2 linked regions of the Schizosaccharomyces pombe genome follow. The protein of the gene in region 2 interacts with the protein of the main gene of each other region in a pairwise test. Each region holds a gene or a part of one and is shown on either strand. Other genes may lie near its edges. The genes, in order: SPOM_SPAC23A1.14C and rdi1.

Evidence for each region.
Region 1: the proteins of rdi1 (region 2) and SPOM_SPAC23A1.14C interact in a two-hybrid assay, tested with the Schizosaccharomyces pombe proteins (one large-scale study listed by BioGRID).

Annotation. Positions count from the first base shown.
Region 1 is NC_003424.3:4,098,288-4,107,649, forward strand, and holds SPOM_SPAC23A1.14C (cystathionine gamma-synthase-like protein), read right to left. Parts: upstream 4,922-9,362; 5' UTR 4,669-4,921; coding exon 3,472-4,668; 3' UTR 2,989-3,471; downstream 1-2,988. Other genes in the region: phenylalanine--tRNA (Phe) ligase beta subunit Frs1, read right to left, coding at 16-1,727, 1,779-1,836; SNARE protein Sec20, read right to left, coding at 5,655-6,335; RNA polymerase II CTD phosphatase Rtr1, read right to left, coding at 6,829-7,422; bbc1 (SH3 domain-containing protein), read left to right, coding at 8,540-9,362.
Region 2 is NC_003424.3:1,313,024-1,321,636, reverse strand, and holds rdi1 (Rho GDP dissociation inhibitor Rdi1), read right to left. Parts: upstream 1,913-8,613; 5' UTR 1,792-1,912; coding exon 1,174-1,791; 3' UTR 501-1,173; downstream 1-500. Other genes in the region: TOM complex subunit Tom20, read right to left, coding at 154-202; tnr3 (thiamine diphosphokinase Tnr3/ Nudix hydrolase fusion protein), read left to right, coding at 2,835-4,544; tvp15 (COPI-coated vesicle-associated protein), read right to left, coding at 5,140-5,538; fsv1 (SNARE Stx8), read left to right, coding at 7,173-7,916.

The sequences.
Region 1 (9,362 bases), 2.8 Mb from region 2:
TTACCAATGTTTTATCTAAACCCAAAGTGTCAAATCAATTTCAACAGCGGAAGCAGCAGAAGTGAGTTCAAACTTCTCTAAAACAAGGGGATGGAGAACACCAAATACACCAACGCGAATTCCAGCAGTACCAAAATCTTTACGATAGTACACTGCTGCACATCGACCTGGGAAAAAGGTGCTGTCGTCCTCAGCCTCGATCCAGTATCCCACAGCATCGGAATCTTTGGGATTCATGATGCGTTTAGTATTTAACATAAGCATCACACGATCTAACAAGCCATGAATTTGTTCAAAACCAGAGTTCAAACCTGCAAAAATGGCGCAAAGATGACGCTCATTACGAGTCATGCGCTCTCTGGAATAATCACAAAAGGCTACGTCGCTGACTTCAAATATTTTAATCGGTAAAGCATGATTTTTGTTCTCGCGAACCGTTTTCAAAATACCAGGAAGCAAGCTTGAACGAACAACTTGAAATTCTAAAGTCTTGGGATTTGCAAGTTGAACAGCTTTTGAATCATCAGTCTTTCGAAGCCATGCATAATTCTCGTCATGGGAGCAAAGGATGAAAGGCATGACCTCGGACCACCCAGCATATGCAACTTCATTACGAATAATGTCAGCTAGTCGATTAACCTCAAAAGGCTTGCCAAATGTAACACTATGAGCAGGATAAGTGTGTTTCAAATTGTCATATCCATAAGCAATGCCAAGATCCTCCATAATATCACACTGGTGAAGAATATCAGCGCGCAAGGGTGGAACGTATACCAAAAGAGTCTTGGAATCATTTGGGTTGGGCTTTGCTGTAAGCATCATTCGGGTCAACAAATGACAGATCTCATCTTCGGGAAGGGACAATCCACAGGCTTCGTTCAAATAGTCGATATCAGCTTTAAAACATGTAGGATTCAAATTAGGAGTAACACGAGTACACCCATTGTGCTCAGATATGATATTAACAGGCTCAATGGTAAAAGGCTCTTCACAGTAACAAGAGAACATCGTGGTCATCATGTTGACAACAATTTCGAGTTTAGTTTTATCGGTTGCGGTAACATCGATGAAGATGTCCCGGGTATCCACACTGATCTTACTGAACTCACTATTAATGATAGGGGGAAGTGAGCAAACCCTTCTCTTAGCATCCAAAATTACAGGATATCTGGGAGAGTTGGCAATGATGTGTAAATAACGGGAAAGATGTTTACTATCCTTGTAAAATTCTAATAAATTAGAACCATTGATTTCCTGGGTTTGATTCAAAGGAACGAAATTGATCTCTTCGGGTTTTAATGCCTCGTAGGTAAACGGACCTTCCATTACAGAGAAGTCATGGGTACCAATGGCTACAAGGGTACGGTTTCTACACAAATTTGCATGTAACTTGTCTTGTAAGGCAATGAAGCTCTGGTAACGAATGGGATCAAGCTTCACACCTCGTAAGATAGCTGCAGCGGCATAAGGACGAATTTCCGAGGTTTCAGGGGAAATTGTGAGTGAAGTGGTGGAAGGAAGTAATTTGTATTGAGGAGTAGCCATGCGACGATTAAACACATTCAAAGCCTGGGCGATTCCTTCTAAGCAGAGCATATCGTAGCGATTTGCCGGAATGTCAATTTTTAAAGAAGGACGCTCAGAAGGACTTCTTTCTGGGTCATTTGTAGTGTCTTCATCAAGCTCAATTCCAAATTGGAAGCAGAGTTCATCAAACTCTTGAGTTGCTACAATTATGTTAAATTTCGCTGCTTATCAACAAATCATCTTTCACTTACTGTACTCTCTTCCTAGGGCCTTGTACAGCTCTTCCTTGTCACAGCTGATGGTAGGCATTTCCTCAAATTCAAAAAGCTTCAAAGGATCTGTGGTGAACGATGGGCTTGCCTGAACCGGGCCTACTTTACCACACTAGGAAGGGTGATCCACTAAATCTGAAGTGACTTGTTACTTGTTTTAGATTTAATCGGCCTTGGCTAGCATAGGAGTTTGGTAGGAATATATTCGTAATATAATAAATTAATATTCATTTTATACTCTGAGATATTCCATAAATACAAAACTCACGAGCTACTGATTTGTACATGCTTCAGGCCCCTATTACTAAAGCTCGAGATGATAAAAGGTAATGCAACAAATTCATAATAGCACAATTGCAATATAAATCAAACTTCTTTTGATTTATAGTCTTCTAGTCATATATTTTAAAACAACCGGCATGTAATAGCCGCATCATGAATACAATGATTTTCATTCAACAATAAAAATTTTAAGTGGTAGGTGAGATGACGATGCTGCAAATAATACCTACCTAGTAGAAATTATTGACTGGTGTACCCTTTTATCAAAAAATGAATTATAAAGGTGCCAACCACGACTCACAATTGATGAAGTATTTTGTATTTTTCTAGTGAAACATCGTCAAACCATACTTTTTTTAAGTTCAGCAAAGCCATAATTGAAAATTCTATTTAGAAAAATGGTGCTTATAATACTTCAAGCAGCCTTCATGCCAAAAAGCTCCTTGACTCCGTATGAGCATTTCAGCAGGTGCCAAAGTAGCGACGGAGTCATCGGCAGATAAACCACATAAATGACAAGTGTCCTTATTATCTCCTAAATTGTCTGGTAAAAACTTGACTTCAATCTCCTGAGTTCCCGAAATTTGCTGACGGGACAGGAAGCGCAGACGAGGAAACAATCGCGCCCATGCATTTACGACCTGTTGAGATTTCCAGTAATTAGGATTGCCTTTCCTTAAACAACCCGCAATACACCTTTGAGCAACCTGTCCTGCAGCGAACACCCCTTTGGTGTAAACCTGAGTTTTGGGGTTGCTTAACGCCGTTTGTTTTTCAGAGAATGATAAATTCGACAACTCTTCAAAAAATTCGCTCGGAAAGGCCAACTCATGTTCAACAAGTAAATCAAGTACCTCTGTCGCAGACACCTTTCTCAATGCCTGAGAACCAGGTATAGGCAAATCATCTTCCAAATCTAGTAATGCTATTGAGTCCAGGTTGATACGATTTTATTATTAATTTCTTTAAATCGTTTTTTTTAGAAAAATTCTTTAACAGAAAAGAGAAAAAGTACCTTCACTTAGTTTTTATACGTGAGTTCTTTTTTGGTTATAGTTTGAATCATGAAGGGTTGAAAAGTCCATCCTGGACAATTGAGGGAATACTTAGTTATGAACAAGTAAAGGCTTTGATGGGTTTTGTTAATGCCAAGCATGTTCGAAGGTTAAAGAATGAAAATGATCGGGTTGATGACCTAGAACATGACATCTCACCGATTCTATCGTACCCTTCGCTTTACTGTTGCAATAGCGATCAAGGTGAATTTTTACGTGAAACACAACAATACAAAAAATTGCAAAGAAAGATAGCAAGAATTAAAAATGTTCTCAAAAGGAACGAATTACAATATTCATTAGTACATTAGAAAACAAGCAAATAACACAATGATTTAACTTAAAGATGCAAAGACACGATTCAAATCGGCAATCAAGTCAGCAGCGTCTTCAATACCAATGGACAAGCGAACAAGTCTAGGATCAATCTTGGAATCCGTCATTCTTCGCCATTCAATCAAACTTTCCACACTACCCAACGAAGTAGCGTGATGGAAATATTTCAACTCGCAGCACAAATGCTTAGCAACTGTGTCAGATTTAAGTAGAACAGAAAAGCAAGATGCATGACCGCCAGTCAAATTTTTAGCGACAAATTCCTTGGTCTGCAAGGAGTTATGGTAAACCTCCAAAATCAGGCTACTATCAATTCCTAGGCTAGTAGCAAATTGCTCATCGGTAGCCAACTTGTTCAAATGTTGGGCAACCAAAAATCCGTTTTCACTGTGTTTTGCGATGCGAAGAGGAAAGGTACGAAGAGAGCGCAAGAGTAAGAATGCTTGCTGAGGATGTAAAATTGTGCCAAGATAAGCACGATCTGCTTTCAAATCAAGGATCTTGGATCTATCTTTCGAGGCTGTGACTCCAGCCAAAACATCGCTGTGGCCGGCTAGATATTTAGTCGCCGAGTGAACTACATAATCAGCACCTAAAACAAGTGCATCCTGGATAGGGGGTGGTGCAAAAGTAGAATCCACAACAAGTATGGCACCCTTCTTTTTTGCCAGTTCCTTGTAAAAAGGAATGTCAAAGGCAATACCTAAAGGATTCAAAGGAGTTTCCAACCATATAACATCACCTTCACCGATGGCATCGCATTTGCCATCAATAAATGAGGTTTCTAAACCGGTTAGACGATTGATGCGTGCAATAATTTGGATTGTGCCTGAATAACCACCGAAACCGGGTTTATGAACGGCGATGTGTTTGGGATTTAAATACGACAACAGTCCGTAAATAGCAGCCAAACCAGATGAGTAAACAACAGAAGGTGCACCAAGAACACTGCTCAACGAAGCTTCAGCTCGATCAACATTGTTGCCGCTGATACGGGCATAGTATGGAAAGTCTTCCTCCGCTAGTTTGGTGAAAGGCTGAAGAGTGTCAGGAGTACCGGGATAAGTATAAGTAGTAGAAATATGGATGGGAGGAGCCACATCATTTTCTAATGCATAAGCATCATCGGCATGCAGTACATTAGTACTTAATGTGGACTTGATGTCAGAGAGATCGAACGAAGGAGTGTGAGTCATGCTAAACTAAAGAAAAAAAAACAGAGATGAAATGCAGAAAGGTCACAACAAATGAATTTCGAGAAAACTAGTGTTTACACGTTTACGGAATTAATAATGTTTATATCTAATTGAATGCTCCTACACTAGTAATCACCAATCGACCAAAGAAATAAGTACGAGATCAAACGACAGATACCTAGTTATGATAATTCTTTTAAAGACTTATATCTCCGTTAACTAACGTAAAGAGTTTGGTTAAAGACAAGTTGTTGTGAGACATCGCGGGGCATGTGCCTTAATTTATATCGTTATGCTTACGTGCTTGTAAACACTATATTACGCATTTGAAGTAGAAAGCACACAAACAAATAGAACCAGGACACTGAATAATTAGAACGTTTGGTTAATGAATTTTTACATAAGCAGTTATTAGTTTTAAGTTTATAGGTTTAATGGAGTTTGCTATCCGATCTCAGATTCTAGGCGTTCGTACCGGACCCTAGAAAATATGCGACAGACTTAACAAGATGCGTTTCCCAATTAACAAGCGCTCTAGTTTTTATTAGGAATTCAAAGAATACTGCTCTTTTTGTACTGTGGTCAAACAAATGGTTTTGACAATCAAAGAGGCATATACAATAAGAATGATTTGAAATGCAGCTGCATGCCGACTGTCGCATATTTCGTGAGCAAGAACTCATTTTGTTTACGGAATGGCGTTTCCCATTGAGTTACAAATACTATAGCATTACTATCATCAGCAAACTTCTACGCCATTCAACGTTTTTATTTAAAGAGAACAACACGTAAATAAAAACCAATCGTATAAGATAAACATTAAAACATAAGAACTACTTTACAAAGACTTTTTCAAAATAAAATTGAGAAAAAGGGCGAAAAAATAATTTCTCGTATAGATACTTCGAGCTCGATGGGAACGAGCCTCAAAAAGCCTTGCTTTTAATCTCGCCTTTCTTTTTAATAAACAATGCATTTTCAAAATCTCACCGAAGAAACCAAAGAAACATAGAAAGAATAGGCCAGACAATTCGCTTGAAGAGAAGATAGACAACCACAAATATGAAGAACCCAAATCCCGAGACGACTAAAAAGTAATCACTTCGATCACTTAATTTGAGCGATTTGATTATCCGTTTACTTGTATATAAAACGTCCTCTACACCAAAATATTTCTCTTGTAGAGTTTCTAACAAGTTGGTACTCGAAGACAACTCCATTGCATTTTCGGCACTCATATCCACTGCCTGTACCATTTGTGCGTGAATATCACGCATAGCCGCCGTGACCTGACTGGCGCTTGTAAGATAAATATCATCAGATTGCCACGAACCAGAGTTATCCATTGAACGCTTTTGAAGAGAACCATCACTTGGTGAGGTAATTTCCTCTTCATCTACAATCTTACCTATTTCTTGTGCGATAGGCAACCATGGTTCACCACTAGCAATCTTATTCCGATATCTTCTGTTCAACCGAATGTATTCTTGTACAGCCTTTTCATATCGTAGAACTGAGTCTAGCTGAATGGATGAGTATTCAAGCTCTACCCTTGCAGTTTCCCATATTTTTCTAAACTCTCGAAAATGCCTTTTAATAACTTCAACGCTTTCTGACTGTTGTAATTCAACAACTTTTTCTTCTAGTGCATTCAGAACGTCGGCCATCGAATGCTATGTTCTCTGCTTTATTGAACAAGTTAAAGGAGAAATAGTATTATGAGATGCAAGAGGAAAGAACGATAAAGGTAAATGATGATGAGTGGGAAACGAATGATGGATGCACTAACAATATAGCACAGCTGAAGGTGAATATAAGACTATACATCGAAAGGTTCGGTATATAGAATAAGGAAAAGAAATCAAATGCGGAATTATAAATAACGAGAAATAAAGATGCTAAGAGAGAGAAAGAGACAATAAAGATAGAAGGCAATAAGGTGAAATAAATTAGAAAGTGTAAATGGTAAAGGGAATATTGTATCGATCTTTAATAAAAAGTCGAAAACCACAGAAATGTTACTATGCACGCAACTGTAGAATGAAGCAACCTTTCATTCTAGTTCAAACGACGCTAGACACAAGTCGGTGTCTTTTTTGTTCAAAAATATTATACATATTCTGGGGTGAAAAGAAAAAATTTGATAAACTTCCATTTGCTTTATGATTGTTCATTAGCCAAAGGATGTTCAACGATTTCACCAACTTTTGCCTTATAACCCACAGGCAACGCTTGCAGGAGTAAGCGTACATCTTCAATTTTTTTGTTTTCCAACTCTTTACGAAATGCTTCATCTTGACGAGGATCGAGATGTTGTTTCATAGCTTCGCGAGCATCTTCACGTATCCATAATGGTTCGTCGCTCAACTCAACCATATATTGACAACTTTTTAGAAAGCAATCCTTCGAGCAATAATAGTTGAGTCCACCGTAGACCTTCATTCCTGAATCTTCTAATTTATACCTAGTTTGCTGCTTAGGTTCATAAGGACAAACGGGATAACCGCACAGATTGACGAGTTTACGCTCCTTCACCACTTGATCGTAATCACTTTTTCGAAGGTATTTACGAGCTTCCTCTAAAGTTTCTAGGGAAACCGGATCAACCAGCTTTTCAATCCATTCGAGGGCAAAAAAATCATACTGAAGTCGACTGCGTGCTTCATCTATAAGACTCTTCGACCACGTGATCAATTGCTTTTCTTGAGTGCTTTGAGCATTTTTCGGCTTTTTGAGAATTGATTTTTTGTTCATATCTGAATTGGATATATTGGAGTCAGCTGGAAAACAGAAGGTCTTAAAAATCGCTATTAGGCAGATATGAGTCAGTCAAGCATTGGAAGGAGGAATGAGCATCGTAAAAATACTTTAGCGCCGTGCAATTTTTGTTAAAGAGTTCTTGAGTTACGCAATTCATTTACAGCGAACTAAGACAGTGCGTTGGCCTTGGTACTAAAAATTTTGATAGAAATTACCCTCTCAGTTGAGTGTGGACAAAGGAAAAAAAATAAAGAAAAGCATGCGTTGCACCAATCATGTAAAGAAAGTTTTGTAGGTCTCTTTAAGAAAATCATTTTACCGTTAAAAATAATAATGATAAATTTACATCCACCCTATTCATATCTTCCACTAGTAAATAACTGGTCCTTAATCTTAATGATTCATATCCATATCCATACCATACCCCACACCCACACAGTAATCGTAAATATAGCAAACCAACGATGCTGTGGCTTCGTTTTAGGATTGCTAGTGTATCCTTATGTAAAATAGGAAACCAGATCCAATTGCGTAAATATTATTATAACGTTAAATAACAAAAACCAATCAACATTGATAAGCAAAATAATACCCAATAATCTTACAGTGCATTACGCTACCTTTGGCTAGTCGAACGAATCACTGTCAACAAGATGTTACGATTGGAAGGGAATTCCCCAGATCCTTTCCCCACAATGTTCATTCATTGAAAATCGTCTCACATGTAGTCAGTCGCTTCTTCACGTGCGATATTATCATTTGGGTGTTTATTGCTGTTAAGATTGACCAAACTTCTTTGTCTGCACAAATCGCGTGCCCTTTAGGAACCAAAATGACAGTGTACTGGCTTAGATATCCTAATAGAAGAGATTAACGATGACGTTCAGCTTCGCTATCATTTGTATATATTTTTAGTGGTAAAATAAATCGGCGGAGCCTTCATCTTTGGTATCTTGTTTTCTCTTTTTTTGGCTTTTTGTATATCTGTGTTTTAGGAAAAAAGAATCAGTGTATTGTATATTGAATGGTACCATTCTTTTTATACTGGTTCATTGTTTATCTGATCTCTCTTTGTACTTAAAAAAAGTATTAGCGGATCGCAGGCTCCACGATGAGCTCGTTTCCCACAAGAGTGGTTGCACTCTATCCTTATAGAAGCAGCTTCTCCGATGACTTGGAATTTGATCCAGGCCAAGTTATCGACGTCGTCAGTAATCTGGACGGCGACTGGTATACCGGAACATATGTGGACTCGGACGGTAACAGGAAAATTGGCTCCTTTCCAAAGGACTTTACCGAGCCAGCAGAGGATGCTGTGTTTGTAGAACGTGCTAGCGAAATGGCTCTTCATCAACCTACGCCAACTAGTGCTGTTCATTCTCGCAACTCTTCCTTAGGTTATGCTCCTTCTATTACACGTAGCATCAAGTCGATTTCCAACAATACAGAGCATCTTGGTGCCGATACAGAATCATATCTTTCAGCTAATGACTTTATTGACAGTACAAGTGAAGCACTTACGAAGATAGTTGATGTGGATACATTGAGTGCGCCATTCGGTAACGACAGCAACTCGCGTCCACATTCTTTAAAAAATGTGGAAAAATTGCATACATTCTCAGCTCCATATACCATATCTGAAGAGACGCCATCTTGCTCCACTGAGAACGACTCGCTACCACTTACCGCTACTCACACTATTACTGGTGGTGAGGATGCTGCTACCGGTGCTGCTGTAACCAACACCACCACTACCCACATTACTACTTCCACCAACACGTCTACCGTCATCCCCTCTAACCCAAATTCAGTTTTTCTTGTCGATTGTACTCATTCACAGTGCCCAACTGATTTACCAAACATCGCAACTACCCAACACTCTTTAAGGTATCTTGATAACGCATCTGCATCCGCAATAACCGTTTTGGAACGCA
Region 2 (8,613 bases):
CTTATTGAACAAGATCAATGTTTAACCCTATCAATAAAATCTCGACTGAAATACAGTACTTCTATTTTCAAGATCAAAAAGAGAAAACAAACGCCCGCTTATCTCAAAAATCTAATCATCATAACAATGCTTTTTCAAAATTTAGAAACTTACCAACAGCGGCAGTAGCAAGCAAGGATCCAATAATAACTGATCGCCTCATATTTATCAAAAAATAAAAGATGATTTTTAACGACAGCTGGCTGTTAAAACAACGAGATTTCCAGACTACTTAGTGGAAATCTATAATACGTTAGGAATAGGAACGGATTACACCAAACCAAGTAGGTGAAAGATGAGAGTCTAGCAAATGATGTGCAAAGAATTAGTGAAAGAAAAAGTGTGATACCAAGAAACCAAGTTAACGATGTCTCTATTCTACTGCAGTAAAACTATATTAAGACAGTAGCTTTGCGCTCAATAACTTTTTATGGGTTTAGGATTCATTAATCAATCTTTTAATCAGTGTGAAGTATTAAAATAAAAAGTTAAGTTTCAAGCACTATGTAGGATTTTCTCAAAGTCGAGCGAGATACGTTGAAATGAGTTTAAGAATGAGTTATTACCGTTACAATAGTATTCTAGTAATTCCCATCAAAGGGACTAATCAGGCTAGTTAATAGCTATTTGTATTGTTTTCTATGTACTTCTTTGGTGACAACAAGGAAAAGTGGAAAAGTATAAGATACTTGGAAAAATTTAATCAAAATCTCAAAACTCATAATTTCAGTGAAAAGAATATAGTCGGATGTATATATCCTTCCAAAATATCGCATTTGTAAGCTTTGGAACGAGATTTAAAAGAAACAACGTAGATTGCTAAAGGGGAATATGTGAAGATCATATGTAAGCTATAAAAGTAATTTGCACAACAAAAGGCAATCTCCAAACAATCCGAGATATTTGGGTGAAGTAAAGTTTCACTGAAGAAGGTGGTAAGAAATCGTCATTACCATATTCAATTGTAGTCCAGACACCGATATGTGAAAGAAATTGGTAAGAAAAAGGAAAATGTTTGCTTTGTAACAAAACATCACTATAAATTTCTTTATAGTACTGAATACCGAGAATTTTGAATAACCAAGTAGATTTGAAATTTACGATTTTAAAAAATAAGGCTGGCATAAATAATGACTACTTCCAGCTTTTTGCAACGTCAAAAGCCCAAACAAATTCATGATGGACCACTTTATCATCATCAACAAACTTTCCATTGGCTTCATAATGTCCGCGAGCCAGCATACCTGTAGGTGCCTCATCTGGTTCAGAGGTAAAATCATAAGGTGTTTCAGAAGGTCCATAGGAGCCAATCATGGTAGATGTTTTGTCAACAACAAAGCCACGTCTGCGAACAGTTTGGACATATCTTAAGCCTGAAATTACTTCGTGTTGTACACGAAATTTAACACCAATCTTAAACTCGCTTCCTTCCTTAATAGTGAACCCTTTCTTGCGGATTTGTTCGACACTTGCTGCATCTTCCATGTTAACATCAACTGGGTCACGGCCGTCAACAAGTAAACTCAGCTTTAAAATAACAACTGTTCTACGATCATTCGAGGGTGAATAACCTGTTCCCGTGATACCCAGAGATGCTTTCCATTTCTGCAATGATTCATCTTCGGCATCCATCTTCATATATTCATTAAGTGATTTCTTTTCTCCCAGAGAAACCGGAGGTCCATGCTCAAATGTATCATCCTCTAGTTCAGGGTTATGTTGATCAGCGGATACTTCATTGTTAACACTCATTTTAAAACAACGCAATAGAATTTAATTATCTGCCAGTAGCTAAACCAAGGACAATTTGTTTTTATAAAAAAAGTTCAGATTCGTTGTTTTGTTAATGTACTGTTCTAGAGTTGAAATTGGCAAAGGGAACATAGCATATTGCTATCTCAACAATATAACCAGATGTACTACTATGTTAACATTTCGGTGACTTGGATTATTTTAAATATAACGGAGATGCAGAAAAGCGTGAGAAAAGTATAAGATTTTTTTTTTCTTTCTATTCCCTTCGATTTTTTTTTTAGTGTCATTATCCATGCTTTTATACATGTAAATATGTTGGAGTAATCCCAAGCATTGACGTCTTATGAGACGTAAAAAAGAAGGAACTTTCTATGCTAGCTTTTCTGTAGGCAGATGTTCTTTACATGAAATTGTTTGAGCAGCAAGTTATAGCTGTAGTCGATAACTATTATACAACCAGATTTGATACGTTTAGCGGAAAAATTATCAATCACTTCAGGAATTATTATTAAAAAACTTACGAAGGAAGTCCACTGAAAATAAAAATCATGTGAAAGATACGCTTAACTATACCAAACCCTAATTAATTACAAAAACGGCGGTTGGTGTTAAAGTGAAAATTAGTAAGCCAATCTGTGTGCTATTATTTTTAATACCAAGACATTCCTGGCACGGAGTTCTGCTCCCATTGTAATTTTCCTCGTAGACCACACTCTTGAAAGACAATTACTAGATTACCTTGATTAAGGTACTGTTTGTTTAATATCAACTTCTTTTTTGTTTTTAAAGATCATTTTGAAAGGGGTTTAATAGATTAGCATTTCGTTATACGATAAGGTTTTAGTCAACTACCCGATTTCTACTACCAGGAACCAGTTTCCTTGAGCTTTTACCATTTGCTAGTATAGGGTGTTTTATATATTATTCTATTTATGTTGAATTGAACCATAAGTGTCTCCTTCGCATAAATACACTAGCCTTTTTTATTCCTGTTTTATTTTAGAACACTATCCATTTGAGAGGAAAATTTGGGCAAGGTAATGGCAATGTCGTCTATCACCTCTGCTAAACAATTAAATGCCGAAGAGCTTTTAGATGAATGCGATTCTTTTAATGGGGAATTTGTTCCTGGAACAATTCCCTTCCGTGCAAATGGCGCTGCCATTGGATATGTTACCCCTTTGGTACTAGAAATCCTCATAAAGGCGGATAATTTCAAATTCAATTGGGTTTATGTTCCAGGAGAGTATATTGAAATAAACGCATCTACTTTTGAAAAAAGAACTGACATCTTAGCTAAGGTACTGGAGCATTGGCGCCATAACAATACATTTGGAATTGCTGATCAATGGAGGAATGAATTATATACTGTTTATGGAAAATCTAAAAAGCCTGTATTGGCCGTTGAACGGGGCGGATTTTGGTTATTCGGTTTTTTGAGCACTGGTGTGCATTGTACCATGTATATTCCAGCAACTAAAGAACATCCTCTTCGTATTTGGGTACCACGAAGATCACCGACTAAACAAACGTGGCCCAATTATTTAGATAATAGCGTTGCCGGCGGAATTGCTCATGGTGATTCAGTCATAGGCACTATGATAAAGGAATTTTCTGAAGAAGCTAATTTGGACGTTTCTTCTATGAATCTTATTCCTTGTGGCACTGTCTCCTACATCAAAATGGAGAAAAGGCATTGGATTCAGCCCGAGTTACAATATGTATTCGATTTACCTGTTGATGATCTTGTTATCCCAAGAATTAATGATGGAGAAGTCGCTGGTTTCAGTTTATTACCATTGAATCAAGTACTTCATGAACTTGAATTAAAAAGTTTTAAGCCAAATTGTGCTCTGGTTCTTTTAGACTTTTTAATCCGTCATGGTATCATTACTCCACAGCATCCTCAGTATCTCCAAACTTTAGAACGGATACATAGACCGTTGCCTGTTCCTGTTGGAAAATATGAAAGAGGGGATTCTTTTGAAGATACTTCAAAGAAAGCTGAAACGTGTGTTCCTGCAAAACCCCAAAAAGCCACTCATCAGCTAGCTCCATGTAAGGCTTGGTTACGTGACTATGATACTGATCAAAAGTTTGCGGTATTACTATTAAATCAACCCATAGATATACCGGATGATAGATTTCGTACTTTATGGAAAAGAGCTAGTATCCGAGTCTGCGCAGACGGTGGTGCTAACCAATTGAGAAATTACGATTCTTCGCTCAAACCGGATTATGTCGTTGGTGACTTTGATTCGTTAACAGATGAAACTAAAGCTTATTATAAAGAAATGGGAGTCAACATTGTATTCGACCCATGCCAAAACACCACTGACTTTATGAAATGCCATAAAATAATTAAAGAACATGGGATTGATACTATTTTTGTATTATGTGGCATGGGTGGAAGAGTTGATCATGCCATTGGTAATTTAAACCATCTATTCTGGGCCGCCTCGATTTCTGAAAAGAATGAAGTATTTCTATTAACTGAATTGAATGTATCAACTTTGCTTCAACCCGGAATAAATCATGTTGATTGTCACGACAACATTGGTTTACATTGCGGTCTTCTGCCAGTAGGACAGAGTGTGTATGTTAAAAAAACCAGCGGCCTTGAGTGGAATATTGAGGATCGCATTTGTCAATTTGGAGGACTCGTCAGCTCTTGCAATGTAGTGACAAAAGCAACGGTGACTATAGAGGTCAACAATTTTATAGTATGGACAATGGAAACACGTCTATAAGACCTGTAAGTAAGAAACTCAGAAAGAATATTCATTATTCCCAACAGCTCAAAAAAATTAAGATATTTATTTAGATATAAAAAATATAAAACATCTATAGAGTATAAGCGGTAATGGTCATAAAGCAAAAAGATAATTGATTAGAGTAATGAAATAAAATAGAATTTTAGTAAAGCCAACTAACATTTTGAACTGCAAGATACATCTCAGAAAGTGAAGAAATAGAAAAAAATCATAATTTTTCATATTGTTGAGCTTGACATGTCATTTTTATCCTCCTCGATACACCCGACAGTTCAGAATCCAAGCTGGACAATTAAAGGTATTTGAATGTATAACCCTAAAACCCATCACAAATACCATAGCTACTACGCTAATGTTGATATACAAAAATTATACATAGTTAAGAGATCGTATACATATTTATACTCATTAACTACTCTGAGGATGACTGCTAAAGTGACTGTCTTTTAGAACACCTACCCTGAAGAAAACGAATGTATCCAGAATAAATCATATGTAGGAGGACATCGGGAAAAGAGGGGGGTAGGAACAAGAACCGAATCAAATAATATAGTTAGAAATAAAAAAAAGTCTACACTTCATCAACGTTATCATCCCAATCATTATCACGCATGCTTCTGGGAGCGTAGTCTTGCAATCCTGCTACGTAGTTTGCACCACAGTAGGCGATACCTGCAAGAAGAACTAAAAAGCCTAGGAAAGAAGTAAACCCGGAGTAAGAAAAGAGTAAAGTACCCATGAAAGCGTAGAAGAAGCCCCTTCCTAAGAATGAGAACATGAACGATCCATATTTAATAGCAATAGGAGGAATTTCCTTTTCTAAACCAATAGTTCCCAAACCGAAAACGATGATGAACAATGCAAGTAAAGCGTTTACGAAGCTAAATGAAAATAACTTGATAAATCCGCTTAAAACGAAGATACCACCTACGCCCAAATTAATGGCACTAAACATTTTTGTTTTATCCATTGTGAATTAAGTGTATGCAACCAATATTAAATTTTTCAAGCAATATGTATTTTAGTCGATGTTTGCTTAAAGACAAAGAGAAATGCAAGTTACTAAGCCTGCCTATGCTTACCGATGCGGTCATGCATATTTACGAACTATTGAAATACGGTAAATAAAAATAACGAATTCCATAATTCTCAACCAACTTTTTGTTGTTTACAGAAAATGAATAATTCAATTCATCGAAAATGCATTTTGTTTTCTATAGCATTCTTTGTACTGTTTTTGAAGTTAAAAACACTATCATTTAGTAAATAATGTACTTTCGACCCGGCTTTTTTTTGAGACAACTGTTGTTGACAATTTTAAGGTCTGTGGGTCAATTTATATATTTGTCAAACGTTCGTAAACAAATGTATTTGTATCTTAGTTTCATACGAGCTCCTTTAGCTATATGTGATCTACTCTCACTCGGGATCTACAGGGCTGTAAAATTTTTTGCACTCAAGTTTCACGCGATTATTATCAGATGCACCTGAATAAAAAAGAATAAAGTAAAATAAAAAGCCGAATGTTTTATAACGTAGTAAAATTCCTTCTTATTTTGATCGCTTTGCCATTCATTTGATTATGTTTATAATGATAATTTCACGTGCAATGTCAACTTTGATAGACGGCTACATCTATTTCTAATTCGTAACGCTATAAAAAAAAACTCCATTTTAAACTGAGAATAAAGCAAGAAGTCGATTAGCCGAATATAGATATCAGCATGATTCGTTTTAAACGGCCCAAAGCCTTGTATATATTTGAGTAATTTTCTACTGTACTTAATTGTCTGTAATTAAACAACTATTTGTTACTCCTACCTTGTTACACTTGGATTTAATACTCTGGAATTAGTGTACTAACTCCTAAATAAATATTTAAGTAGTATTTTTCTTTAAGATATTTCTTTAATAAACATTCTCTTCTAATGAAAAGAAAAGCGTCATTATTGGTATTTTAGTTTTCAGAGCAAAGAGGTACTTAACATTTATTATGTCGCAATTATTTTATATATATATTATATTAATATTTTGTAATGAGAAACCTAGGCCTAATAGTGTAGTGGTTAACATACCTCTTTCGGGTAATCCCCACTTGTATGCTGAGTTTAGAGGTGATCCCTGGTTCGAATCCTGGTTAGGCCCCTTTTTATACTGGGCTTGCTGTATAAATTTATCTGATTAATTTTGAAACTACGCAAACCAACTTTCAATAATTAAAAAGTTTTCCTTACACCTTGCTTGATTACCTTTTAATAGATGTGAAATAAGAACTACTAAATTTGTGATAAATACCGAAAACAATCAGAAGAGTCGAAAAGAAGCATTCAAAAAATTGTGTAAATAACGAGTAGGTTTCTAATAATACGATAATTTCACAGGATGCCTATAATGGATCTGGCAGCTAATGAGCAAATCATTTTTACTTTTTTTTTTATTTAAAACATACGAAAAGATTCTCTTTTTTTGCTGCAAACAAAATTTACTGTAATTGAACCTAGAATTGGTAGCAAAGGCATTACACCGTATTACTGTAAACTTCACTAATGTTTGTGTTTTTAGGCGCATGATGAACATGATTACTCAAGAAAGTAACCAGCGACTATGTCAAATTTGCTTCTGATCATTGACTCGGTTTCACAAAAAATAAGAGACAGGAGGAAGTTGGAAGAGTTTGGACAGAATCCCGATGAAGAAATTGAGTCTTCATTGAAAGATGTTCGGCAAGAATTGCAAAAACTTAATGAGGAGCAATCGCGATTAGAGAAAAATGCACAAATCCCAGAGTACAGAGTACGAGAATCCGAAGCATTTCTTATTAGAATGCAAAGGAGGTTAGAGTCTGCTGAGGAAGAGTTTGAGAAGCAGCGGCGTGCATCCTCAATTCCTGCTGACGGAACAAGTGCCTTTTCTGCAAACCCGCAAGTTGCAAGTACGAATAATAAGTTAACTCCCCTTCCTTCTTTACAAAAAACGACTTCGAGTAGTGAGGGATCTGATATTGAGATGGAGGCCATGTATCCGGTTGATGGCAATGACCCTGATCCCATAAACGTAAACGTTTTGGCTCAAATGCATCAGCAAATGCTCAACGAACAAGAAGAATCTTTAGGAGGGATCGAAGCAAGTGTCCAAAGGCAAAAGCGGATGGGATATGCAATGAATACAGAATTGTCCGAACAAAATGTTTTACTAGATAATATGAATAATGATGCTGATCGAATTGAGAGGAGGTTTGATCATGCAAAAAATCGATTAAACAAGGTCAGCCGAAAGGCTAAACAGTATCCCAGATGCTTTATTATTTTGCTCCTTTGTGCGTTGTTATTACTTGTGGCTTCCATTTAGGGTGCAAATAAATATCACTTAGCAATTGTACTTGCTGTAACTCTGTTACACTTTCACTTAATTCTTTTATTTCACGTCCTCTTTGAACTAGGCTATATAGTTCTTTTATTTATATTTAATAACCGTGATATTTACGAACTTTTTTTTTACGATTTTGAAAATGTTTTTGTGATCTTCAACTTCTTTTGCTAAACGAACCTTCCCTTTATAGGGAATACAGAAATTAACTTTTTCGTACATTCCAGTTTCTAACCATTGACTGTCTTTCTACTTTAGTAATTATTTTTCTGCTAGCGCATTTCTTATCGAAATCATTTTTGTGTTCTTTTAAGGGCCGTCCCCCTTGTTCACAAAGCTAGTTTTGACGACTTAAATCAAGTGAATATAGTGCATGCAGAGTGAATGCTTAATAACCATTTGTTACAAACTTTGTTTCGCTAATAACTCCTTATTTGACATTTGAATAAATAACCTATTAGACTTTCAAAATTTTTAGATTCAGGGCAGTAAACAATAAACAACAATATCTTCAATTAGCTGTATCAATTTATTTTCAGAAGTTTTGCTATATTATTCCTTCATCTCATTAAAAAATATTCTCTTCTATTATTAAACATACGTAGTCATGTTATCATTATCATTATTAAGGAAAAGTTTGAACGAGTAGATTCTTTCTTGAGAATTAAGGGAACATGTG